3 linked regions of the Oreochromis niloticus genome follow. The protein of the gene in region 2 purifies or fractionates together with the protein of the main gene of each other region. This does not show direct contact. Links are inferred from orthologs where the notes say so. Each region holds a gene or a part of one and is shown on either strand. Other genes may lie near its edges.

Region 1 (7,769 bases), on a different chromosome or scaffold from region 2:
CTGTCTTTCCAGGTGGAGCCTTTGGTGCTGTGAAAACTGTTTACGGTCGGTCAGTTACTTTTTGTTTCTCGACCGCTGCCCCACCTGACTTAGCTGAACCACCTAATCTAACCTCCATTGTCTATCATGACTTAGCTAAAGTGTTTAGCAAAGACTTAGCTCTTTCTCTCCCGCCTCATCGTCCCTACGACTGTGGCCCCACTTCCCACTATACATCTGTACAGTCTCTCTAATCCAGAGATGGAAGTTATGGCGCATTATATTACTGACTCCCTAGCTGCCAGGATAATCTGTCCGTCCACTTCCCCGCTCGGCACGGGCTTGTTCTTTGTAGAAAAGAAGGACAAACCTCTCTGTCTATGTACTGACTTTCTTTGTCTAAACAAAATCACTGTAACAAATTAGTACCCCCTTCCTCTGTTGTCTTTGGCCCATTAGTTACCGCAAGGAGCTCAATTTATGAAATGCACACCACCTATTCAGAATAAGGGAGGGAGATGAATGGAAAACAGCCTTCAATACTCACCTTGGACATTTCGAATATCTGGTCATGCCATTTCGACTCACTAACGCCCCTGCAGTGTTTCAGGCCTTAGTGAATGACGCCCTAAGGGATTTCATCAATCATTTTGTATTTGTTTACGTTGATGACATTCTCATCTTCTCCAAATCCAGGTCGGAACACAAGAAACATGTCCGCCAAGTCCTGGAGCAGTTGCTGGAGAACCACCTCTTTGTAAAAGGAGAAAAATGTGAGTTTCATGTCCAGTCAGTTTCCTTCCTCAGGTTCATCGTGGAACAGGGTAAGCTACAAGCTGACCCGGCTGAGATTAAAGCTGTGGTGGAGTGGTCTCAACCCCAAACAAGGAAACAGCTTCAAAGATTCCTTGACTCTGCTAATTTGTGGGCGACCAGGAGCTTCTAACCATCAAGCTTGCATTAGGAAAATGGAGGAAATCGCTGTAGGGGATGGAACATCCACTGGAGAACTTCTGCATTAAAATAAGTTTACTGTATGTTGCTTAATCTCCCACAATGCATTTCGATTGTTACCCTGTTTTGTAAAATGATGTTTCTGTCATATTTTTTGTTGTGCCATAGTCCTGCCCCCCTCGACTTGAATTTTGTAAATATTGCTGAGGTAGTTTATTGTACCACAGACCAAGAGGAGAATTTACTGCACGGGACTCGGGAGACTGTCACAAAGGAAACTTTTTTTTGGAATTGTTTTTGCACATCTTTGCTTGTTTTTTCCACTATAAATAAATTCGCTGTCACCTATCAGGAAGTCCTGCATCTGTGCTGAGTATGGCCTAGGAGTTCTAGGGTCAAAATGGGATACACCCCCAAGGGTTGTTGCAAATGACCAAACTAAGATCCTGTGGAGATACAGATGGACAAACTGGTGGTGGCTAACCAACCAGACATCATAGTGGTGGACGAGCACAGAAGATGGCTGTAGTAGTAGATTTAGCTATACCAAGTGATAGCACCATCACAAAGTAGAGAACGGGAGAAATACAAAGGGTTGAGAGAGGAGCTAGAGGATGCTGAAGGTGAAGGCAACAGTGGTCCCCGTGGCAACAGGAGGACTTAAAAATATCATATTTTCTAAATGATAAACAATCAATATGACACTGAAGATCAACTGCAAAATCAAACCAGAATAAGGTTAGTTAGGACACATCATCATGCTTTAGTCTGAGGTGGTTTCTTTCTGAATCTTTCTTAATATGAAGGGCGGTTTCTTTGGCCTTTATGTCATCCTGTCACCACAATTCACCGTCTATTTACAGGGTATACAAACCATACTGACATACTGTTGGCTAGAAAGACAGCAGTGTAATGTGACCTTTAAGTCAAACTACTAACTTGTCATACAGTAAAACATCACTGAAGTCATGATGGATGGATATCCCCATTTATATTCCACACTGACACAACACACGGTTATTTTCAGCTGTTTCAGCTGCTCTACCTTCCACTTTACAGTTATTATTGTATTATATGTCAAAGTAAAAATGAAAACGAAATGTGGGGAAACAGAATGTCGTGTGGGTCTTGTCTAAGGAACCGCACTCAGCAATCAGGCCAACTAAATTGGATTGTAGTCAGGGGACAGTTATCACTGAAGTCAGTTATACTTGTAACTTTTTGTCATGCCCTCACTGTCTTGTCCTCCATCCAAACACCTGTATGGTGGCCCTGATGTGCAAAACAAAAAACAAAATGTTTCTGCTTTGGCTACATGTGGTAACATGACGGACAAAACTCAGGATAAGAAAAGCAGGCATAACTCTGCATAACATTATCCAGTGATCTCAGTCTGAATTCTTTCCAGTGTGCTATCATGGAAGGAATGTCTTTGTTAAAAGATTCTCTCATTATTCCAAAATCCCTTTCCATATTTTTTTAACTCTCTGAAAACTTTAAATTCCGCGCAAGGACACTGCTCAGAGTAGTATAGAAACATCAGGCTGTCGCTATAGATAATTCTAATAATAATACTAATAAAGGGTGATGTTGTTGTGTTTTCAGTTGTATTGTTGTGTTTTGCACCTCAGGGCACCATACAGTAGATCTTGTGACTGCAAGACATAGTTTCACTTTGTGTAGAGTCATGTAAAAAAGAGACTTTTCACAGTTGCTTGTAGAGCCACCTTTAGCAGCAACAAATTGAAGTCATTGTTTTCTTTATAACTTTATTGGTTTCTCATGTCATTGTGGAGAAACTTTGCCTTGAGCTTCTTTGCTGTGATGTTTCATTTCATTGAGGTTTGTGGGACTTTATTTATGCACACCTCTCTTCAGGTTCTTTCCAATCGGGTGGAGATCTGGACTTTGACTTGAGCCACTGGAACATCATCTTTTCTCAGGTATTCTGTTGTGGTTGATTTGCTGCTCACCCAGTTTCACCCAAACTTTAGATGGCAAACAGATGATCTCTTATTTCACTCTAGAATTTCTGTGTATGATCTGTACATATGGGTTTGGACAATAAAGCTGACTTTGACTTTGGGAATACTCTGGTATAGAGAGGAGTTGACAGTCATCTCAGTAACTACAAGGCACCCAGGTTATGAGGCTGGAAAGCAAACACAAATCATCACCCCTCCACCACCGTGTTTGACAGTTGGCATGAGGTGATTTTACAGATTTGTTGTGTTTGATATTCTCCAGACATGGTGCTGAAAATTGTGGACAAATATCTCTACTTTGGTCTGTCCAAAGGACATTGTTCCAGATGCAAACCTAAACTGTGCTGCTATGTTCTTCAGGCTTTCCCCTGGCAACCCTTCCAAACAAGCCATAGATGTTCAGTTTTCTTCTAATTGTACTGCCAAAAAACTTTAATATTTAACATACAAACTGAGGCCTGAGATTGGGAATTTTCCATTTCTCTGGGCATGGAATGAATTTTCTGGAATGTCCACTCCCAGGAAGATTGCAGCATTGTCCTGACAACACACACCTACAGTAAATGCCCCAGATCAGCAAACTGCTCAAACTTCAGCTTTTATCAAGGTGCTCACACTTGCTGATGATCAGTCAATCAAGTGCATTTCATTTGCAGTACCTGAGAGTAATTCCAATTACAGTGGAAGCGAAAACTTCTATTTTAACTTCTGAAAACGTTCTTTTTCACTTGGCTGTAACTTCATGCCATCTATATCTTCCCCTATAATTCTTTCACTTATGCAGATGACATCAGCACACTTGCTCCTCAGTTATTTTCTCCTTGAACATGGTCCAAAGAGATGAACATCACACAATGTACTATTTAAGCAATCACTAAAATAACAAACAAAGAAAACAAAATCTGTGATGTCACTGGGTGCTTTGGAAACTAATGGGAAAAGAAGAAGTTAATCACATTTGTTGCAACATAGAGTTGAGCTCACTTGCAGCACTGAGACTGTGTATTGGGACCTGATTTTTGCAATGTATGTGCCTTTTTTAAAGTTATAGGTAAGATCCAAAACCTTCACTAAAGCAAATTATGATTAATGTAAACCTGTTCAGAAATGATAAGAAGCACAAACCTATGGCTTTGCAAATGTTAAAGCAAATTTACACAGTTGCAAATGACTTTTGCAAAAACATAATTAAATTAAATGGTAAATGGACTAGTTCTTATATTGCAATTTTCTATTCTACCTGAATAGAAAATTTCTATTCTACCTACCTTATTTTTCCTTATAAGGAAAAATAGGGGGATGCAAATTGGTTCCAGTCTTTTATTTGAAATCATAGCTCTCTGTTGTCTATAATATTGTAGGTTAAGATTTTATGTCATGCAACGTTGTCATAGTAAATTTAAGGGTCACACACAAAAAAAATCAAGCTAAAAAAATGAGCCTAATATTGTGTACGGTGTTACATTCGGGTCAAATGATAATAATTACATTTTTATTGCTATAATATTTAAGTCCGTAGATATGTTTTGGTTCTTCATGCTTTCTCTTCAGCAAATTGGTCTCTGGCGCCACCTTACGTCCTATCAGAGAGCTCGCAAGGCGTGACAAGTGACGCCACGTGTTTACAACTGCCAATGAACACGTGGCGCACTAAATCTGAAGCCGTCATTGGTCGAAATGATATCGATATGGGTGGGTACTCCGCCGTTAGGAGCCAATAGGGTCTGGCATGTAAATTCCGTTTGAAATTTTCCCGGGAAATCTGAGTTTCGCGGGAGGGTTCTTGAGCGCGTAAACCGTATCCCTTCATTCATCAGGCCGTTTCCTGAAGCCATTTCTAGACGGGGGAAACGAGAGTTGCGCTACTTTTTAATCCGTTGCATCTGCCTAAATGCACTTTCTGAGGGAAAAATACTTTTCAGAAATCGATAGTTCAGACACTCGTCTTTACTTTGGTCTGATTATTTTTGTAACCATTGCGGCGGATTAGCAGCTATACGAGCTCGAAAGTTCCGAGATAAGAAAGGGGTTACCCTGAATACGCAAGATGAGAAGAGGGACCTCCTCGGCTCAGGAAAAAGTGATTTTAGCAGGGGTTGGAGGCTCTTCTCTGGATAATAATATAATTTTAACAGCTCTCTCGGATCGTTTGAACCCCGGTCAATCAAACGCTACGTATATCCAAATAATAACCACACCACCGCCTTGCAACGTTACACAGACATCAAATGTGTGTTTATCCGAGCCTCAGATTAACAACATTTACACAACTCCACAACAAGCTGCAGCAAACGCAGCAGGACAACGACCCGCTCTGGGAAGACCGCCGGTAATAATCCACACAGCTTGCTTATACATTTAGCTTTGCTACGCTCAGCTACACAATGTTAGCTTGCTAACCTAGCCGAGCTTGTTGTTCAGGGCAGCTAACGTTAGCTACTTAGCCAGGGCATTCCCACGACTCAACCTAGCGAGGTGGCTAACTAACTACCGCTAGCTAAGTTACCCAAGTGGGCTGGTTAAGTGTTTTCGTTTACTGTGGGGACGCCAGTGACAAGTTTAAGTGAGTTTAGCGTTAACTGGAATGCAGACCTGTCAACTAAGAGAGTGTTAGCAGACTTCATGGTGCTTTTGAGTCCGCTTCACCTTTGCAGCCAGATGGAAATATTGGTAAGAGATGACTAACGTTAGCGCTGGCCTAGTGGCTGCTGTTGGTGTCTTAATTTGGGGGGTTGGGGGATGGTTTCCCTGCCCGGTTTTTGGTAAGCTATATGTTTGTTTTTAGCGTTTTAATGCTACATGATTAGTGGAACTTATAAAGGCACGATGTTATACGCAGATATCGCTACAATTCAGTCTGGGGTCTGCTCGATAGATTTTCTCCCAGTCGTCTGTGAAGATGCAAGCCAACTTGGGTAAAGCTTTGAAAATATGCGTTAGCTATCAGAGCTAGTAGCACTATTGGTTATTAGAGAGCAACGTTAGTCGTTGTCGAGCTTGACCTTATTCTTTTAATTCGGCACAACTGTTTCATGCCACTCTTTTGTCACTAAAGTAACGCTGTGGTGCCTTTCATGTCAAGTAAAGTGAAACCCGAGTTTGTTGCTTTAGTGCTGATTCTACGTTTCCTGTATTCTCAACATGCACAAACCACACAAAACAGTTAAAGCTGCATTCAGGGTGTTGTTTTCTTTTCTTTCTCCTCCTGGTTATTCATCTTTTATGAACTCAACCAGTCTGCACATATCAGGCTGTGAGCCATGAGAAGGCTTTGGGGTGAGGGGAGCTGCTTGCTGATATAAAATGGCTGACACTTTGACTGTCAACAGAGGACATATTTTTTTCTTTCTCAGTCTGGGGTTATGCAAAAGATGAAGTAGTAAGTATGGGTTTAAAAATTATAATATGTTTTCCATTTCAGGGGAAAGTGGCTTCTGCTGTGCATGAGTTTTAGAGGGAAATGCAGACCAGCAAGCTGGTGGCACTCTGTCCTGCTCAAAGACACTAAAACAGGATGGATTCTTGCAAAAGCACAGATTGATGTTCATTGGGCTATAATTGAGATGGGTTATGGTTAAAAAAATGATTATTATTGTGTTTTTGTGCTTTAAGAAACAAAACATGTATTCAGGTATGTTTATGGTAAGAAATGTAACATCTGCATTACCAAATCCAATGTTCAACACATGCCATAAATGAGCTCAAACATGGTGAATGGTACAGATGAATCTGGAGGCAATGTAGATTCATATGAAACTAAATAAAAGCTTGTGTTGGAGCCATAAATTGCTGGATCATATGCTTAAACAGACTCATGGTGGGTAATTGGACATCAGACATTTTTGTCTGGATTTGAGAATCAAGTTTTGGACTGAGCAGAACTACTTGATGCTTCCTTTAATTATTGGGCTGGGTGGAGTTATACGGTCTAATATTTATTGGGATTGGCGTTGGTGTGCGGTGGGACGTTCAAATCGTCGATGTGACTCACTCTTGAGCTATTTGGGCTTGCCCTTTCCAATAAAATTGGGGGAAAATATAAATCCGGTGGCTGACAAAACTTCTTTCAATTCAGATTTGATGTCGCTGTCCTTGCTGCGAAAACCTCAGGAATACTGAAGTAGTCGACGGAGAACAATCACATTTGGTGACTAAAGGCAGTCTGAAACTAGCAGTCACTCTGTCTGTTTATGTAAACGCTTCTTTGGTCCTCTGCTGTGTTTTAGAGAGACTAGGCTTATGGAAAGGCTTTGGAGGTTACTGCCAAATGACCACATCCACCCTTAACTATCCCTTCTGCTTTCTCCTAGGCAAAAAGGCGATTGGCACTCGATGATTCGGACCACCAGTACCAGACAGAACCAGCCAAAACTCCTAGAGGTAGAGGAGGAGCCGCGGCATCAAATGGGGCACGGCTGAAGACACCCAGAAGTAAGAAGGTGGCTCTTAGGAGCCCTCTGTCGTCTTGTTTGTTCATTTCACTGCAGATTGTTTCAACTTCATCATGTCCATGCTCCTGCCGAGCAGCACAGATGGGAACACTGTAGATGCAGCTGGTTTTTTTTTATGGTTATTAGAATAAAATGAGTTTTGTTTTTTCCCTTGAGCTAAACATCAACATGAAGGTAAGGTCCTTGGTTCTCTCCGAGTGGTTCACTCAGCTTTCCGTGAAGAAAAATCTCTCCAGTGTTATATCAGTATATTAGTAGTGCTGATTAATCGGTTTCATCAATATATAAACAGTAGTATTGTGTATATAAACCATGGAGCTGAAATGGGGAACTCTCTCAACATATTAAAAAAAAGCAGGGAAGTGTTTCATATAAAGCTTATTGCTTCCAGACTATATTC
Region 2 (7,830 bases):
TGTACTTTAATACCACGACAATAGTCTTGTAAGCAAACCTTACTGGCATTAAATCCAGTGCCCGGGTTTGTGTTTATTTTGGTTACCTACCATTTTTACACCCGCTGTTTGACCAGTTTGGTAGTCCGACTGTCGTTCATTATACGCATGCGCGGAAGTAGCCGGATTGCATAAAAAAGATGAGGTCTGCGGTAAACGCTCCGCTTGATATTTGCATTATTTGCGCTTATTTGATTACAAGTATTGCTTGTACCCGTAATTGTCGCGCAAAGAGAGTTAAAACGACACTTTCAAATACGTTGTTATACCAAGTGTAATACACATACAGGAAAACTCCCTCAAAACTGCATTCAGCACTGTTAAAAATAAAACTCAACCCCACCCTTCACCCGCTACACACACAGACACACACTTGTTGACTGCCAACATCCTCACACACCATCCACAAAACAATACACACTGTAAAACACAGCATCAGTAATCCTCCTTCACTGCACATCACACCTGCCTTGATCTGTTAGTGGCAGACATATGAACAGCTGACCGAAGAAATTTATTTAAACTGCATTAAAACAGCGACATTAAGGAGCTGTTGTAGACATCCAAGATTGATAGGTGACCCCAAAGCCTCAAAAAAAAAAAAAGAAAGAAAGTCAGAGCAGCCATTCTGAAATGTCATTGTAGGGTAAGCACAGGTGTAATAACATTCATCATGGCACTGCTCCATTTAGAAGGGTCTATTGTGCTTGCCAGCTCACTAGAACGACTGATAGACTAAATATAACAGGGTTATAATTGAGTTTAACACTTACATGCTTATTGTAGTATGAGATGTCAAAGTGGTTATTGTGAAAAAGACCTATTTTGATAGTAACCATTAATGAATATGGCTATATTAGCAAGAAAAAATCTAAAACATTGTTTGTAGTGCTGTGGAAAGGTATTGGGTTATGCTTACAGTGTTTACTGAATAAGATAACTAACTTTGGAATAGTTAACTTTAAATATATTTTAATAAAAGTCGCATCCCAGACCTGTTGAATCAAGAAATCACATAAATAAAAACCTGTCTGACAAAGTGAAGTAGGGTAAAAGACCTCAAACAGCAAAACATCATGCAACGATTTAAAGAAACTTCAGAACAGATAAGAAACAAATTCATTGACATCCATCAGTCTGGAAGGGGTTACAAGGTAATTTCTAGAGCTTTAGGACTCCAATGAACCATGGTGAGAGCCATTATCCATAAAAGAAGAAAACCTGGAACAGTGGCGAGCCTTCCCAGAAGTCGCCGGCCTACCAAATTTACCCCAAGACCGCATTAAATCATCTAGGAGGTTACAAAATAACCCAGGACAACCTCTAAAGAACTGCTGGCCTCACATGTCTCAGTTAAGGTTTATGATTCAACAGTAAGAAAGATACGGGGGGAAAACTGCATCTATGGGAGGATTCAATTCAATTTATATAGCACCATATCACAACATCAATCACCTCAAGGTGCTTTACATTGTAAAGTAAAGACCCTACAATAATAAAGAGAAACCTCAACAATCAAAGGACCCCCTTTGGGCAAGTGCTTGGTGACAATGGGAAGGAAAAACACCCTTTAAACAGGAAGAAACCTCTGGCAGAACCAGGCTCAGGGAGGGGCAGCCATCTGCTAAGACCAGTTGTGGGTGAGGGGAGAAGACAGGACAAAAGACATGATGTGGAAGAGAGCCAGAGGTTAATAATAACTAATGATTAAATACAGAGTGGTGTGTAAACACAGTGAAAAATGTGACTGAAGGAGAAACACTCCTTCATCATCAGAAGCCCCAGCAGTCTAGGCCAATTTGCAACAAAACGGGGCCCTAACTATATTCTTAGTCAGCAAAAAGGAACATTTTAAGCCTAATCTTAAAAGCAGTCTGTCTCCCGAATTCAAAACTGGAAGCTGATTCCACAGAAGAGGGGCCTGAAAGCTGAGGGCTCTGCCTCCAACTGTACTTTTAAACCTAGTAAACCAGCAGTCTGAGATCAAAGTGCTTTATTGGTGTGATATTGTACTGTGAGGTCTTTGAGATTTGATAGGGCCTGATTATTAAGGACCTCTGATGTGATGAGAAGGGTTTTAACTTCCACTCTGGATTTAACAGGGAGCCAACGAAGGGAAGCCAGCATGTGAGAAATACGCTTTCTCTATCTCTTCCTTGTCAGTACTCTTCCAGCATTCTGGATCAACTGAAGGCTTTTCAGGGAATTTTATGGCAGCCTGATAGTAATGAATTACAATAGTCCAGTGTAGAAGTAATAAATACATTAACTAATTTTTCAGTCTGAGGATTTTAATCTAATATTGGAGATGCTATGTATGCTATGCCTTCTAATGATACTACGTAAAAGCATGTATAATATAAACAGAACTGGTCCTAGCACTGAACCCTGTGGAGCTCCATAATTAACCTTAGTGTGTGAAGAAGAGTCCCCATATACATTAACAAACCAGAGTCACACAGAGAACACAGAGATGAGTCCACTGTCAGAGGCCATAGGAAGATCATTTGAAGCCTTCATAAAAGCTGTGCTGTGATGGGCTCTGAAACTCAACTGAAACTCTTCAAATAGCCATTCCTCTGCAGATGATCAGGTAGCTGTTTTACAATTACTCTTTCAAGGCTTTTTGAGATAAAAAAGAACGTTGGACATTGTCCTATAATTTGCTAAGACCGCTGGGTCAAGTGATGGCTTTTAATATGATAGTTTAATTACTGCCAGCTTGAAGGCATGTGATACATAGCACATTAATAGAAATAGACTGATCATATTTAAGCTTTAACGATAGGACTTTGAGCAGTCTTGTAGGAATGAAGCCTAAAGTGCATGCTGATGGTTTGGAGGAACTAATTACTAAAGTTAATACAGAAAAATTCCAAGGAGAAAACCACCGCTGACCTAAAAGACCACAAAGGCTAGTCTCACATTTGCCCCAAAAAACCCATCTTGATGATCCGTAAGACTTTTTGGAAAATATTCTGTCGACTGACAAGACAAAAGTTCAACTTATTGGAATGTTTGAGTCCCATTACATCTGGCATAAAACTAATACAGGATTTCATAAAAAGAATATCAGAGCATTGGTTTATGCATCAGCCCCCCCCCAAAACAAACAAACAAACAAACAAACAAAGAAACAAACAAACAAAGAAACAAACAAAAACAACATCCAAAAACGTTTTTTGAGTGACCTAGTCAAAGTCTGGGCTTAAAGCCGATTGAGATGCTTTGGGATGACCTTAAACACGCCATTAATGCTCTGAAACCCTCCAACGTCGCTGAATTAAAACAATTCTGCAAAGAACACCAAGGCCTTGGTGTTCCCCCGGAAAAGGTGGAAGAGGTAACTAGGGAAAGGGAGTTTTGCTTAGGGTGTTGCCCCCACAACCTGGTGCCAGATACACATAAGAAAATGGATGGATGGATGGATGGATGGATGGATGGATGGATGGAGAAAATCTACCTTGCCCAGCTATTCAAGAGTCACAAATACATGACTCATATGATAATTCAAGCAAAGAAAGGCAAACGGTTAAACCCTTATGAGCTAAGAAAAACATTTGTGATTACTTTATTAAAAAAATAGTATGGTAACAGGGTTAAATAAGAGTAACAGGGCTGCACAAGATAACGGGGTTGAACGGATATATTACTTTTACTTGTAGATTATGACATATGTGTGACAAATAAATACTCAGGACTACACAGAAATGTTGTTTAATAACATCTTATATATTTTTAACATGTTTGTAATGTTTGTTTTATATGTACAGTAACAGGATTGCAAATCAGTGCTAATATTAGAGTTTTCTCAGAAAAAGATGTAAGCTGATAGTTGACTGTGAAAGTCAAGAATAAATATAGAGATGTAAACAAAGGAATTAAACTTTCCAATTACTTTCTCTTTTGGTAATATGAATATCAGGGTTTGCATTGGCTGGAATGACACAGTCTAGTTAGAAAAGACTGGAAAAAATACAAAATATATCACAGAGGACTGACCTTCAATCTAACCACGGTGTTAACACGCGGCTCAATCGTGTCACTGACTTTTTGTCAAGTCACTCACTGTTTGGCCTCTTGTTTTTCCAGCCTAAATAGGTTTCAGTAACAGGGCTGCACATAGGTTTGCAGTGCGTAATTACTCTTCTTTAATATATGTTGATGTTTGCATGTTGTAAGCTGATGATGAACAAAATCAAAACAAGAAAAAAAGTGGATTTATAACGATTTTTAGCTGTTATAAATTAGTTATCGAGAGTTTGGCAAGAGAAAAAAATGCTATTTTGATAGTTCTCAAGAAGTATTTTGTATTTATATAATATTTTGGAATTGGAACCAACTTCACACTACAAATGTATGTTGTAATCTTTTGTGCCTGGACTGTTTTCAAATTCATATGGGGGAGCAAAGAAAATCTCCTGCATTTGTACAATGGCTCACTAATAGTGACAATAGTGAGTGTTGAGACCTCTCCAGTGCACTTGCTATTACTGATTTTTGCACCAAATCAGGTGAAATTGTTTCACAATGACTCATGGCTTCCTAACTGGACAGATTTGCATCCCTGAAGATTAACTAACTTTGTGTTAAATCTTCGATACTCTGATCCCTTACGTATTTTAAGACTTGTCATATTTACACATTTTTTATGGCACACTCCTGTGCAGCAGACGGCGCTGCATGTATCACGAGGGCTCTGGTATCCACCAATCCAAAGAGCTCCAGGTTGTGGGCATGAACTATTTTGACCGCTTTGCTTTCGTCTCATTCGTGCTGTCCAATCAAGCTCCACTAAAGCGAGGCACCGCCAAGATCAGATTGTGAGAGACGCTGGTGTAGCAAGGCTAACGGAAAGTCGATAGGAAAGGCTAGCGAGCAATCTGTTAACCTGTAAGGTGCACCGGTAAGCAGCATTCACTCACCTGCAGCTTGTCACTCAGCTGACGCATATGATAGAAACCGACGTTAAATATCTGTATGACCTTCTATTGTTTGTTAAGTATATAGAATTTTTTTTTTACCGCCAATAAATACAAAGCTAGCCGTCGAGGTAAACTTGTAGCTAATTCTGGGGTTGTCGATGACAGCTGGGGGTTAGCTTCTGTGCTAACCCACTAGCTAGCCAGTGAGCTAACAAAGCGCTGAAGCACCTACTTCTTGAAGTGCAATCGCGAGTTAGCTCAGTGTTGAAATAAACATTTTGATAATAAAGACAAGTACTTTTTGCATTGCATTTAATACATCCTCTTTCAAGTCGCTAACCTACGGCATGTAGCTGACTGTAACGAAGTGAAGAACAGAGCTAGTTTTGCGGTTCACGATGATTGTAATCGACCTGATTACAGTAACGTACTTGTATTGGATCCGTATGCAACGGTTCGTTTGGAAACGAACCTTATAAAAACTAATATTTAAGTTTTAGACACCTCAAAATGGCCACCTTTCTGTTAATTTAGCGTCAGGAAAGTATTCGTAAGGGTCTTCGTGTTTTATTAAGAACAAATAAGAAAGGTTACGCGATTAAATGCGTGGAAAAATAATAATAATAATACTAAGTCGAGTGTTTTTAAATGTAACTTCCAGACAACAAAGTGTGTTATTCATTAGTTAGCTATGTGTGTTGATACTGGTTACTACACTGGCAAAAGGAGGTCAGCGATTGACAATAAAACACAATAAACTCACGGAGTATATGCAGCTGCCTGCAACTGGTATTTCAGAAGTTGTGGTTAACTGTGGCAAAACATTTTTATCGTCTGGATTAAATCCACCTTGCTGGCATCGATGGCAAACTTTGTTTACTTTTTAGTCTGCTTGACTTGGAAACGATCACTCTTTGTACAGCTAACACACAGCAAGTTATGCAAATCCTGGCATGGCTTGTTGTATTAAAAAATAAGCTTAAAAGTGAAATACTCAAAGTAAATACATTATTTCGTACTTCAAATGAACTATATAATTGTTAAAAAGTATCTCGACATTTCTTAGTTTGTTTCCTGTTTAGTGGGGATTTAGACCTCCTCTTCCTCCATTCTCAAATGCCAACAACAACAGCCGTCGAGGAGACAGAGTGCACTCGTAAGCGCATACAGTCACCACAGTTAAGCTCATTCATCGTGCGAAAGGCACGTTCACTATTTTAAGTGTTAACCCATGGTGTAGTGTAGCTGGGATCTGCAGCACGGAACCAATAATCGCAACATTTCTACATGAATCGTCTCAGAGCGTGCAGGAGCTAACTAGTAAGCTAAGACCAGCAAGCTGGGTCTACCGCTAGCTGTTAGCAGCTAGCTGCGTCCAACAAAAGATTGTTCGTGCTAATCGACATATAATATGACCGCTGTTACAGTATCATGCAGCCACAGTGCCTGGAGCCACATAGTGCTGTCTCTGTTGCGACATTATCAGTTTAGCGCTGTTGTGGTAAAGTTCGCTTGTTTGCGTGACCTGTAGCAGAAGTTGGACGGTGCCTCTCCTCCGGACGTGCTCGGTACCTGAAGTAGGCCTTGTGCACACTTAGCGTAGTAAAAGTTGTGAGCATCAAGGGATGGCTTAATATGGTTTCCCGCATATCTAGAACATTTAAAAGTACTGCTCGGTGGCTCGTTCACGTGAGATTGGTGTGAGAAACGTACATTTCTGCGCATTTTGGCTTATAAAACAAATAGTGACGCTAACATTGGTGATGTAGTTAGCTTTCTACAATGTGCTCTTAGCAAGCAGACCAGATGGGCCTTACTTCAGAAATAAGTTTAAATTTCATCTCCAAAACAAAGTGAAACACAGCTTAGCTTGGGAAACAGTATTGGGAAATATGATGTTTGGGTCAAACTGTAATTTTGTCATTATTTAAGTAATAGTTTGTTCTCTTTCTGTTTACAGGGGTCTGAATAGTGACTGGCAGAGGAAAAGTCTTTTTAACCCAAAGCATACCTCTTTTCGGTCCTTTGGGATCATGGCTAAAGATGTAAGTAAATATATACATGGTTTCATGAGAAACATCAGGCTATTTTGGCTGTGTCACCTAGACTGTAGCTAATTTTGGGTCCTTAAATTTACTGGCTGCACTTAGTCTTGTAGCGTTTTCTTTTTTCTTTTTTTTCTTTTTAAATAGACTGTGGGATTTGTTTAGTGATTTCATAGTGGAGTGGTTTATACATTTGCCTTACAAAAGATCCCCTGTTAGGTCCTGGAAGGTGACACAGTTCCACTGAATCAGGAAGGGCATCCATCCAGCATAAAAACTCTGCCAAATCAAACTTGTACAACTCACTGCGGTGACCCCTCATAAATAAGGCATCAGCCAAAAGTAGCTTCTACTGTATGTTTGTTTAACTGGACTCGTCTTCAATTCTGTGGTTTCTGCAGTATATTAAGTTGTTCTCTTTTACAGGCTGGTCTAATTGAAACCAATGGAGAGCTGAAGGTTTTCATCGATCAGAATCTGAGCCCTAGTAAAGGTATATTTTGTGAATACTTGCCTACAGAAATTGTGCATATGTGATATACAGGGCATTCTAAGCAGTATGTACAGTCTAGTTTAAGAGGCAGCAGGGCTGTTTGTTGGTAGGTGGACAATAGGGGGCAATGGTGTTTCATTCAAAAGCTTCCCTCATTAATGATCTTCTCATGTCTCCTATAAGGTGTCCTGTCCTTGGTTACTGTCCAGCCCACAGCTGCCCCTGTGGCCAAACAGCTACTACCCAAAACCCTTGGGCCATCCAATGTGAACGTCGCTGCACACATGCAAAATGTGCCACACATGGTAAGTGAGGTCCTGTTATGTCA
Region 3 (7,833 bases), on a different chromosome or scaffold from region 2:
ACGAGTCTTTTTAAACCCTGTCTTTTTTTTATTGCGATGTTCTTGTTTTTCTCTGTGCATATAATTTTGTTCAGCAATATATCAGTGATGCATTGCTGAACGATAATAAAAGAATCTGAATTTTAAAATAACAGTGTTAGGATGGCTCATAGCGGCTGGGTTAAAATAGGAGGCATGTGGTAGAGATGAGGTGCAGACCACCCACGTGTTTATTCACCAACGTTAAAAAATAAAAAAATAAAAGCTAAAACAGAACAAAAAATAAGACAATGTAGCCCAGTGGTGGGACCTGGTTCCAGCAGCGGCCCTGAACTGGCAGCCTTTTATTGACTGCTGCTAATTGGGTCTCAAGCCATACGAGACATACACGCTAAAGTAAAATAATAAACTGCACACAAATCTTTTCTAATAATGTTTCTTAACATCAAATCAATACTGAAAAAATAGTTACAACTATTATTATGAAATATTTTCCCACTTGGCCTACCACCTAAAATCTACAATAAAACTATTATGGCTGTTCAATCCGCTCTTCGATCACTAGGTGCTGCCTGGAACCTTTAAAAAGCACTTAGGAAGTCTTGGGACTCTTTTGGTTGGCAAAAACATTGGGAGAAAACACAAGTAGGACACAATCTTGTCATCACAATAGTCACTTGGGATATAAATTGGCTCTCCTACCCATTAGCATACACAGGAGGTAAATATCAAACCGGTATTTTCCACCAGTTTAACCAAATTTACGCACATATTAACCAGTGCCAGCTGAAAGATTGCCAACAAGAAAAACCTACAGACAAATAACCAATAAAAAACATATCAAACTGTTTTGTATGTATTCTTTAACACCAATGTTAAACTTAGTCATGTATGTTAATCTGGTTAAGTAATGAAGAAGACTTTAATTGCAAGCAGCAAACAACATGAAGATCAGCTGCCAGTCCACACTAGATGGGGCTGTTGGATGAGGATGGAGCCTCCTGACATCAAGAACTGTTGCTTTCAATGTCAAAATGAAGCAGAGTAGACTAAAGCTCAAGCTCAAAATGTAGGATTGCACAATAATTTGAAAATGATTTTTCTTCTTTACAGCAGCACAGTGGACAAATGACTGATAAGCTGTCTCATGGCCAAGTAAGCCCAGTTCTCGTCTTATTTTGTGACAAATTCAGAAGGTGAAAAATCTGGAGTGGATTCCAATTGTTGAACTTGCTGGTGAAAGGTGCAAATCAGCAGTCTAGTATATTCTTAAAAATAATGAATACCCTGACCAGCTCAATAACATAGAAAGGCCCAAAAGACTGAACTAGTGCATGATTATAGGATATCCTTCTTTGTTCAGAAAACACTGAAGACATCTTTGAAAACATTCTCAAACAGGTGGGTGTATCACTCTCAAGGTCTGTTATTAAATACAGAGGGTCTATAACTAAGTGCAAACTACTGGTGTCCCTCCAGAACAATGAGGAGAGATTAGTCTTTGCCAGGAAACAGCTCAAAGAGTTTGCACAGTTCTGGGGGGAAAATGTTGGACAGATGAAACCAAGATTAACTTGTACCAGAATGATGGGAAGAGAAAAGCATGGAGAAAGAAAGGAATGGCTCATGATGGTGATAAATAAACTGGTATTATATCATGCTTTTCTACTTGGAGCACTCAAAGCACTTTTTACTACTCTCATTCACCCAATCACACACATTATTATAAGGGCTTTTTTTTTCTATATACCTAAGCACCACGAACATTCGCTCTAACGTTGATTGACGCAGCGGGGTTCTCACCCAAGGATACTCTGATACAGAGTGGAGTAGTCAGGGATTGAAGCACCGACTTTCCAAGTAGGCAACCTGCTCAATCTCAGCTGCAGCCACTCATGACCAGAAGCATACCACATTGCCAAACATGGTAGAGGAGATGTTATGGGATGAGCATGTACAACAATTAGGCATAACATTATGACTGCCTGCCTAATATTCTGTTGACCATCCTTTTTGCTACCAAAATAGCCCTGATCCAGTGGCATGGACTCCACTAGACCCCTAAAGATGTGCTGTGATAACTGGCACCAAGATGTTAGCAACACATCCTTTAAGCCCTGTAAGTGGTGAGGTGGGGCCTCTGTGGATTGGACTTGTTTGCTCAGCATATCTCACAGATGCTTGATTGGATTGGGGAACCATTTTTGCTTTGTGGCAGGGTGCATTATCTGGCTGAAAGAGGCCACACCCATCAGAGAATATAATTTCCATCAAAGGGGGTACATGGTCTGTAACAATGCTTAGTACGTGTCAAAGTAACATCCACATGATGGTAGAACCCAAGCTTTCCCAGCAGAATGTTCCCCAAAACCTCACACTACCTCCACTGGCTTGGCTTCTTCCTGTAGTGGATTCTGGTGCCCGCTGTTGTGCCCGATGAGTGACACACACGTACCGGGCTATCCATGTGATGTAAAAGAAAACATGCTTCATCAGATGAGGCCATTTTCTTCCATTGCTCCAAACTCCAGTTCTGATGCGCACTTGTTGTTGGCGCTTTCAGTAGTGGAAACAGGTCAGCAAGGGCCCCCTGACCTGACACCTTTCTATCAGAACCAGCATTAACTTTCTCAGCAGTTTGAGCTACAGTAGCTCGTCTGTTGGATTGGATCACACGGGTCTTCAGTCCCTACGTGCCTCAGTGAGCTTTAGCTGCCATGACCCTGTGACTGGTTTACCACTGTTCCTTCCTTGGACCTGCAATTTTGGAGTTCTAGCCTTCACAATTTAGCCCTCGTCAAGCTTGCTTAAATCTTTGCCCATATTTCATGTTTCTGTCGCATCAGCTTTGTGGACAAAAATGTTCACTTGCTTTTTAATATATCCCACTCACAAACAGGTGTAATGATGAGGAGATAGCCAGTGTTATTGACTTCACCTGTCAGTGGTCATATTGTTATGCCTGCTTGGTGTATGGCTCTAAGTGGAACTAGATCACTAATGCTTATTGATTATATGAATGCCAATATAAGCAGCGTGAATTCTGAAATGTGCATTACTATACTCTCTGCTCAGATTCAGTCAGATGCTGCAAAACTGATGAATTATGACCCGAAAGCATACAGCAAAAGGTACCCAAGATTTTCTCAAGACAATGAGATATCAAGGGCTAAGTCAGTCACCTGACTGGCAACCCCATCTAGCATGCACTTAGTGCACTAAGTACAAAAACAAATGCAGAAAGACCCATAAACAAGCAGCAGCTGACATTTCTGCAGTAAAGGCCTAGCAGAGTGTCTCAAGGGAGGAAAAACAGCATTTAGTGATGTTTCCTGGTTCTACTTCAGTCATCACTTGCGCCGTTACTGAAAATAGAGGACTCTGTATACAAATGGCTATAAATAGCACAGCTATTTGGGGGTGTAGGCAGCAAAGCTACAATAAATGTGTAACTGTCCCAACACTCATTTAACTCCACGTGAGTTTCATAAAACAAATTCACTGTTTGATACACTGAACAAATTTTGAAACATCACAAATTTTGATGTGACAGAGAGAAACATCACTAGTGATTTTTTTTTTTTTAAAAGAAAAGAAACAAGCAACAAAGTTTAAAGTACAAAAGGTACATCACTAGAATGCTGTGAGATGTTGCATGTTATGCAGTTGGGATAAAACGTGAATCTGAATTTCCAGTATTGCTAGTTATGCAAGAACACCTACAAATTGTGCAGGATTTTGTGTGAAAGAGGAAGAAACATGAGGGTGGGGATAATATACGTTGCACTCTGTGGGCATCCAGTGCAGTAATATGTGGTGAACGAAGCAAATTTCTTTCATCTGACAATTAAGAATTATCTCCCCATCTCTAATCCAGTGTAATAAGGAGGCAACTATGTCAGCTTTTTTTCTTCACCCTCGGTTTTTTAAAGGCACAGATGCACAACAAACAATAAATTTGTTGTGCATTCAAACCACTTTCAACTTTGATTATTTCATTCAAAATGCCGTTCAGATTGAGGCCGGACAATGGGGCTGCTTTGGTGGAGAGTCTACTTTGTCTTGGCCAAGGGGGTCAAGTCATATGGCTTGGGTTTGGTTGCTGCAAGTGGGGGAGGGGGTGTTTTCTTTCAATACCTCCTCTGAACCAATAAGCAGGAGTGGTACTGAGTGAATCCAATTATCATCTATAAACTACCCCAGCAACACCTTGTAACAGGGAACAGTACACTTTGATCACATAGAATACAATAAAGCAAAATTGTCTTTATTGTTTACAAAAAACATACAGTGTATATTTAATTATATTTACAAAATAAAACTTTAAAAAAAACTTTCCAATCCTTTCTTGCCCTCTGATTTCTAATACACATATTTTATTATGTCCTAATTACCCAGAGAGCAATTCGGCACTATTTGAACATACTGTACATGATTGCGCCATTTGCAGAATCAGACTTCATTTTAATACACTGCAAATTTCATATAAACATATGAAGTTAATATTTAACCGTTTTTGTAATCTTTGACTGTCAAGGAACTGAACTGGGATGCTGTAAATGCAAGTAAGTGGTTACAAGTGGAGTTAAAAAGGCAATAAAAAGTGCTCCAACAACAATAATGCACCTCTAACGTGTGATTATAAAGTCTGGGCTGGTCATTGTCTCCATATCCAGCCTGGCAATGAAAGAACACCATGTCTCGGATGTGTGCTCCTGTCCCTTTAAGCAGATCACTCCCATAGCCGTACAACTGTTTTATGCAAATTAGACAAGCCGAACGTGCCATGAGCCAATCAGAAGCGGCTTTCAGCCGCGGGAGATCCGAATTTCGCGGGATGAAGTTTGGCGGTAAAAAGACTGCTCTGCCCCAGCTCTTGCCCCCTTGTATGGAGAGAGGAGCTCTGAGGTGGACGGACAGGAGTGGCAGACTGGGTCGGATTCAGCACCAGAGGGAGGCACAATAATTTGTTAATCTCCTGCTGGAACCGGATCTCAGTGAGACCTGGAAGCCTTGGAGAATTAAACTTTAAAGTTCTGGACGTTTGAAATAGTTTATTTATTCAGGAAGCTATTCTTTATAACTGGTAAGGCAAGTTTCCTCTACACTGATACAGGACAAAGGATAACAACACCGAACAGCCTGTTGAATGTACTAATGATAAACGTCACATTATAACATATAAGCCTGTACTGCATGTGTAATTCATGCGGCTTGAAGCTAATCCGGCAGTTTACGCTGTGAAAGTTGCTTTTGTTTTGTTTGTGTGTGTTACAGTATAGGCAGTTTATATATTCATAGAGGTCCCGCAGTAGGTGAAGCTTGCTGAGCGATTCAGTGTGCTCAAGTACAGGCACACTTCTGCCTTCGCCTCACCGGTCCGGTTCACTCAGAAAAATGATGCGGATGCCTAAAGGCGTCTCGCCGGCATCGGGTCGGCAGGCAGTGGGGCTGCCTTGCTCTCAGCAGAAGATGAAGCTTTTGTCCACCGGTGGAGTGAAGACCGACTTCTTCCTCGCCGGACTGTCCAGTCCGCAGATGAACACGGTACCGGCCGGATATTTCACCCAGATCTGCAACACCAGCGTGGCCGAACAAAGAGCCAACAGCCTGTATTCAACCCCCCATGGACCCGAGGTTAAACCGATCAGATCATCCTCCGGGCGACTGCCGGTAAATAATCACACAAATATAAGCCTGGGGTCGTGTTTCCTTATTGTATAATATTTAGCGAGGGATTTGCATATGTCCGGAGGAGGAATATTTGACTTTTTTCATTGCTATGCATGTTTGAGAAGGGCGCATTCAGATATGTTTTGACGTGATAAGCCACAGAGGGGCCACTGTGGCTGCTGCTGATGTGCGTGAATGGTGTCTTCTCTCTTTCTTTTTTTTCCTTATCCATGCCAGGCTGTGTGACATCTTCTCCCGCAGTCCAGCTGTAGCTAACACAAGGCCAGACGCCTTGTTCTGTGTTTGATGGTTTTGATGAGCCAGTGGGGGTGCTTAGAGAGAGGCCCCACTCTCTTATGCCCAAAAGACGAGTGCCCCCCCTCCTTGATGCAGCAGAGCTAGTTTTTTTTAATACAAGCAAACAATGCAGGGGCTCAACCAAGCTGGAGGAAAGACACTTAAGGCAAATTCATAGCTTCCCAACACTTGTAATGGGTGATAACACACATAACAGATGCTCCACCCTCACTTCCCATTATGTCAAAACAGGGTCTGTGTTGGACAATGGGAAGGAAGCATAGGTCAGAGGTCATAACCACAGAACAGGTGTATTTTCTGGAGTGTGAAAGTATTACTATCGGAAGCCCTAAAGCATCACAAATAAGTAAAAGATTAACCTGTTTTGTAGAACACGTACACAGTGGGCTTTAACGACGTTTAGCAATGCCGTTCATTTTAAACTCGAATGCTGAAGATTATTTGAAAATCCTGATCTGAGAAGATTGGGTGACACTCAGCAGCTTTTTAGTGCTCCACACCTGTTGTTGTTTGTTGTATTTGGTGTCTTTATTCCAGCTGACTCGTCAGCCCTGGAGTCTTTTTTTAGATTTAATGAATTGCAGTAACGCTAAAGGGGTTAGAGTGTGTACAGGGTTTTCAAATCGCATGTCAAATCCCCAGCCCTAATAGGCCCTTCAAGAGGATTAGATGGATATAAGTAAAGTGAGAAATAGGGTACCACCTGGCATATCATGTGCCAATGTGAACCTGACTGCTGTCAAAGTGTGTATGGGTTGTTGGTTTATAGAATTATTACATGCATTCACGTTTGATAACCTGGTTTTCACCTTGAAATCCAACCTTAAAGTTTGGCCACTAGAATAAGCAAGAATTCAGTTATTAAATGACAGAATTTTTATTTACACCTCAGAAAATTAATTTGTAATTGTTCGACATACTGGATGTGATGTGGTTCAGTAGGCTTTACGACACTACCCCTGTGTACGCAATCATGTCGCCTGTGTTTTTGTGCATGCACACTGTGACCACGGTAACTTCTGTTTTCAAGGGATTTGAATATTTTCAGTTGTTGCACATTGTCACAGGTGCACATTTCAATTTTACCACAAAAACAGGAGCCTGATTCAGGTTGATAGAAGTGACGGCACGGTTGAAAATACGGATGAGGTTTCAAAAAGTTCTCTGATTAAGAAACTTCCTCTGGATCACTTCAGTAAATTGGGTAAACTTAATCAAAGGGAGGGAGCCCACCTTAAAGTTTCTGCTTTTAAACTGATCATTTTAAGTGATTTGATTCCCGTGTCTAGAAATAAGTGGTACAGTGGGCTTTAATGATGTTTGAGCTTATTCCTTCTATTATACGTTAGTTTTGTTGCACTAATATATAAATGATTAGACACAAGGATGTCATTATCTTTATGATTGGGTTTGAATGACTAAACACCACGACATTTCAGTTGCTCTTATATGTGTTGCGATGGCTGATGGTAGCTATCTTGCAGGATACATTTGATGCGATGATATTATGAAGTTTTATTGACGACAGTAAAGAAGCTGAAGATAGTAATGTGTTGCTGACACAGCTGTTTCAGTGCATGTTCAGTCATGACTCCTGTGTTTGCAGGAAGTGTTGCCTTTTCATGTACTTACAGCTCACTTCCTTTAACCTATACAACATTATAACCACAGCTTTTTTCTCTAAGATTTCCTTTTTTTAAACTTTGACTGGGAAACCAGATTCTAAAGCTTAGAATTTATTTTTGTAAGTACAAACAATCTAAACACTCTCTGAACACATTACACATAGTCCCACACTTTTGTAGGCACCTACCTACAAAAATAAAATAAAAGGTTAATATTTGACTGATTTTAGTAAATGTT

What was found.
Region 1: the proteins of tfdp1a (region 2) and transcription factor E2F3 purify together in Homo sapiens (affinity purification with mass spectrometry; 3 studies listed by BioGRID and IntAct, with this or other methods). This does not show direct contact. The link is inferred for Oreochromis niloticus from reciprocal best matches to the Homo sapiens genes TFDP1 and E2F3.
Region 3: the proteins of tfdp1a (region 2) and e2f2 purify together in Homo sapiens (affinity purification with mass spectrometry; 3 studies listed by BioGRID and IntAct, with this or other methods). This does not show direct contact. The link is inferred for Oreochromis niloticus from reciprocal best matches to the Homo sapiens genes TFDP1 and E2F2.

Annotation. Positions count from the first base shown.
Region 1 is NC_031976.2:8,581,886-8,589,654, forward strand, and holds the start of transcription factor E2F3, read left to right. Parts: upstream 1-4,679; 5' UTR 4,680-4,965; coding exon 4,966-5,247; intron 5,248-5,334; exon of another isoform or gene 5,335-5,540; coding exon of another isoform or gene 5,541-5,588; intron 5,589-7,228; coding exon 7,229-7,349; intron 7,350-7,769.
Region 2 is NC_031987.2:21,263,722-21,271,551, reverse strand, and holds the start of tfdp1a (transcription factor Dp-1a), read left to right. Parts: upstream 1-4,794; 5' UTR 4,795-4,945; intron 4,946-5,989; exon of another isoform or gene 5,990-6,284; intron 6,285-6,924; 5' UTR 6,925-6,997; coding exon 6,998-7,009; intron 7,010-7,435; coding exon 7,436-7,502; intron 7,503-7,685; coding exon 7,686-7,807; intron 7,808-7,830. Other genes in the region: dcun1d2a (DCN1-like protein 1), read right to left, coding at 91-93. UniProt on the Homo sapiens protein: Can stimulate E2F-dependent transcription.
Region 3 is NC_031983.2:14,406,276-14,414,108, reverse strand, and holds the start of e2f2 (transcription factor E2F2), read left to right. Parts: upstream 1-4,832; 5' UTR 4,833-5,065; exon of another isoform or gene 5,066-5,256; 5' UTR 5,257-5,376; coding exon 5,377-5,652; intron 5,653-7,833. UniProt on the Homo sapiens protein: Transcription activator that binds DNA cooperatively with DP proteins through the E2 recognition site, 5'-TTTC[CG]CGC-3' found in the promoter region of a number of genes whose products are involved in cell cycle regulation or in DNA replication.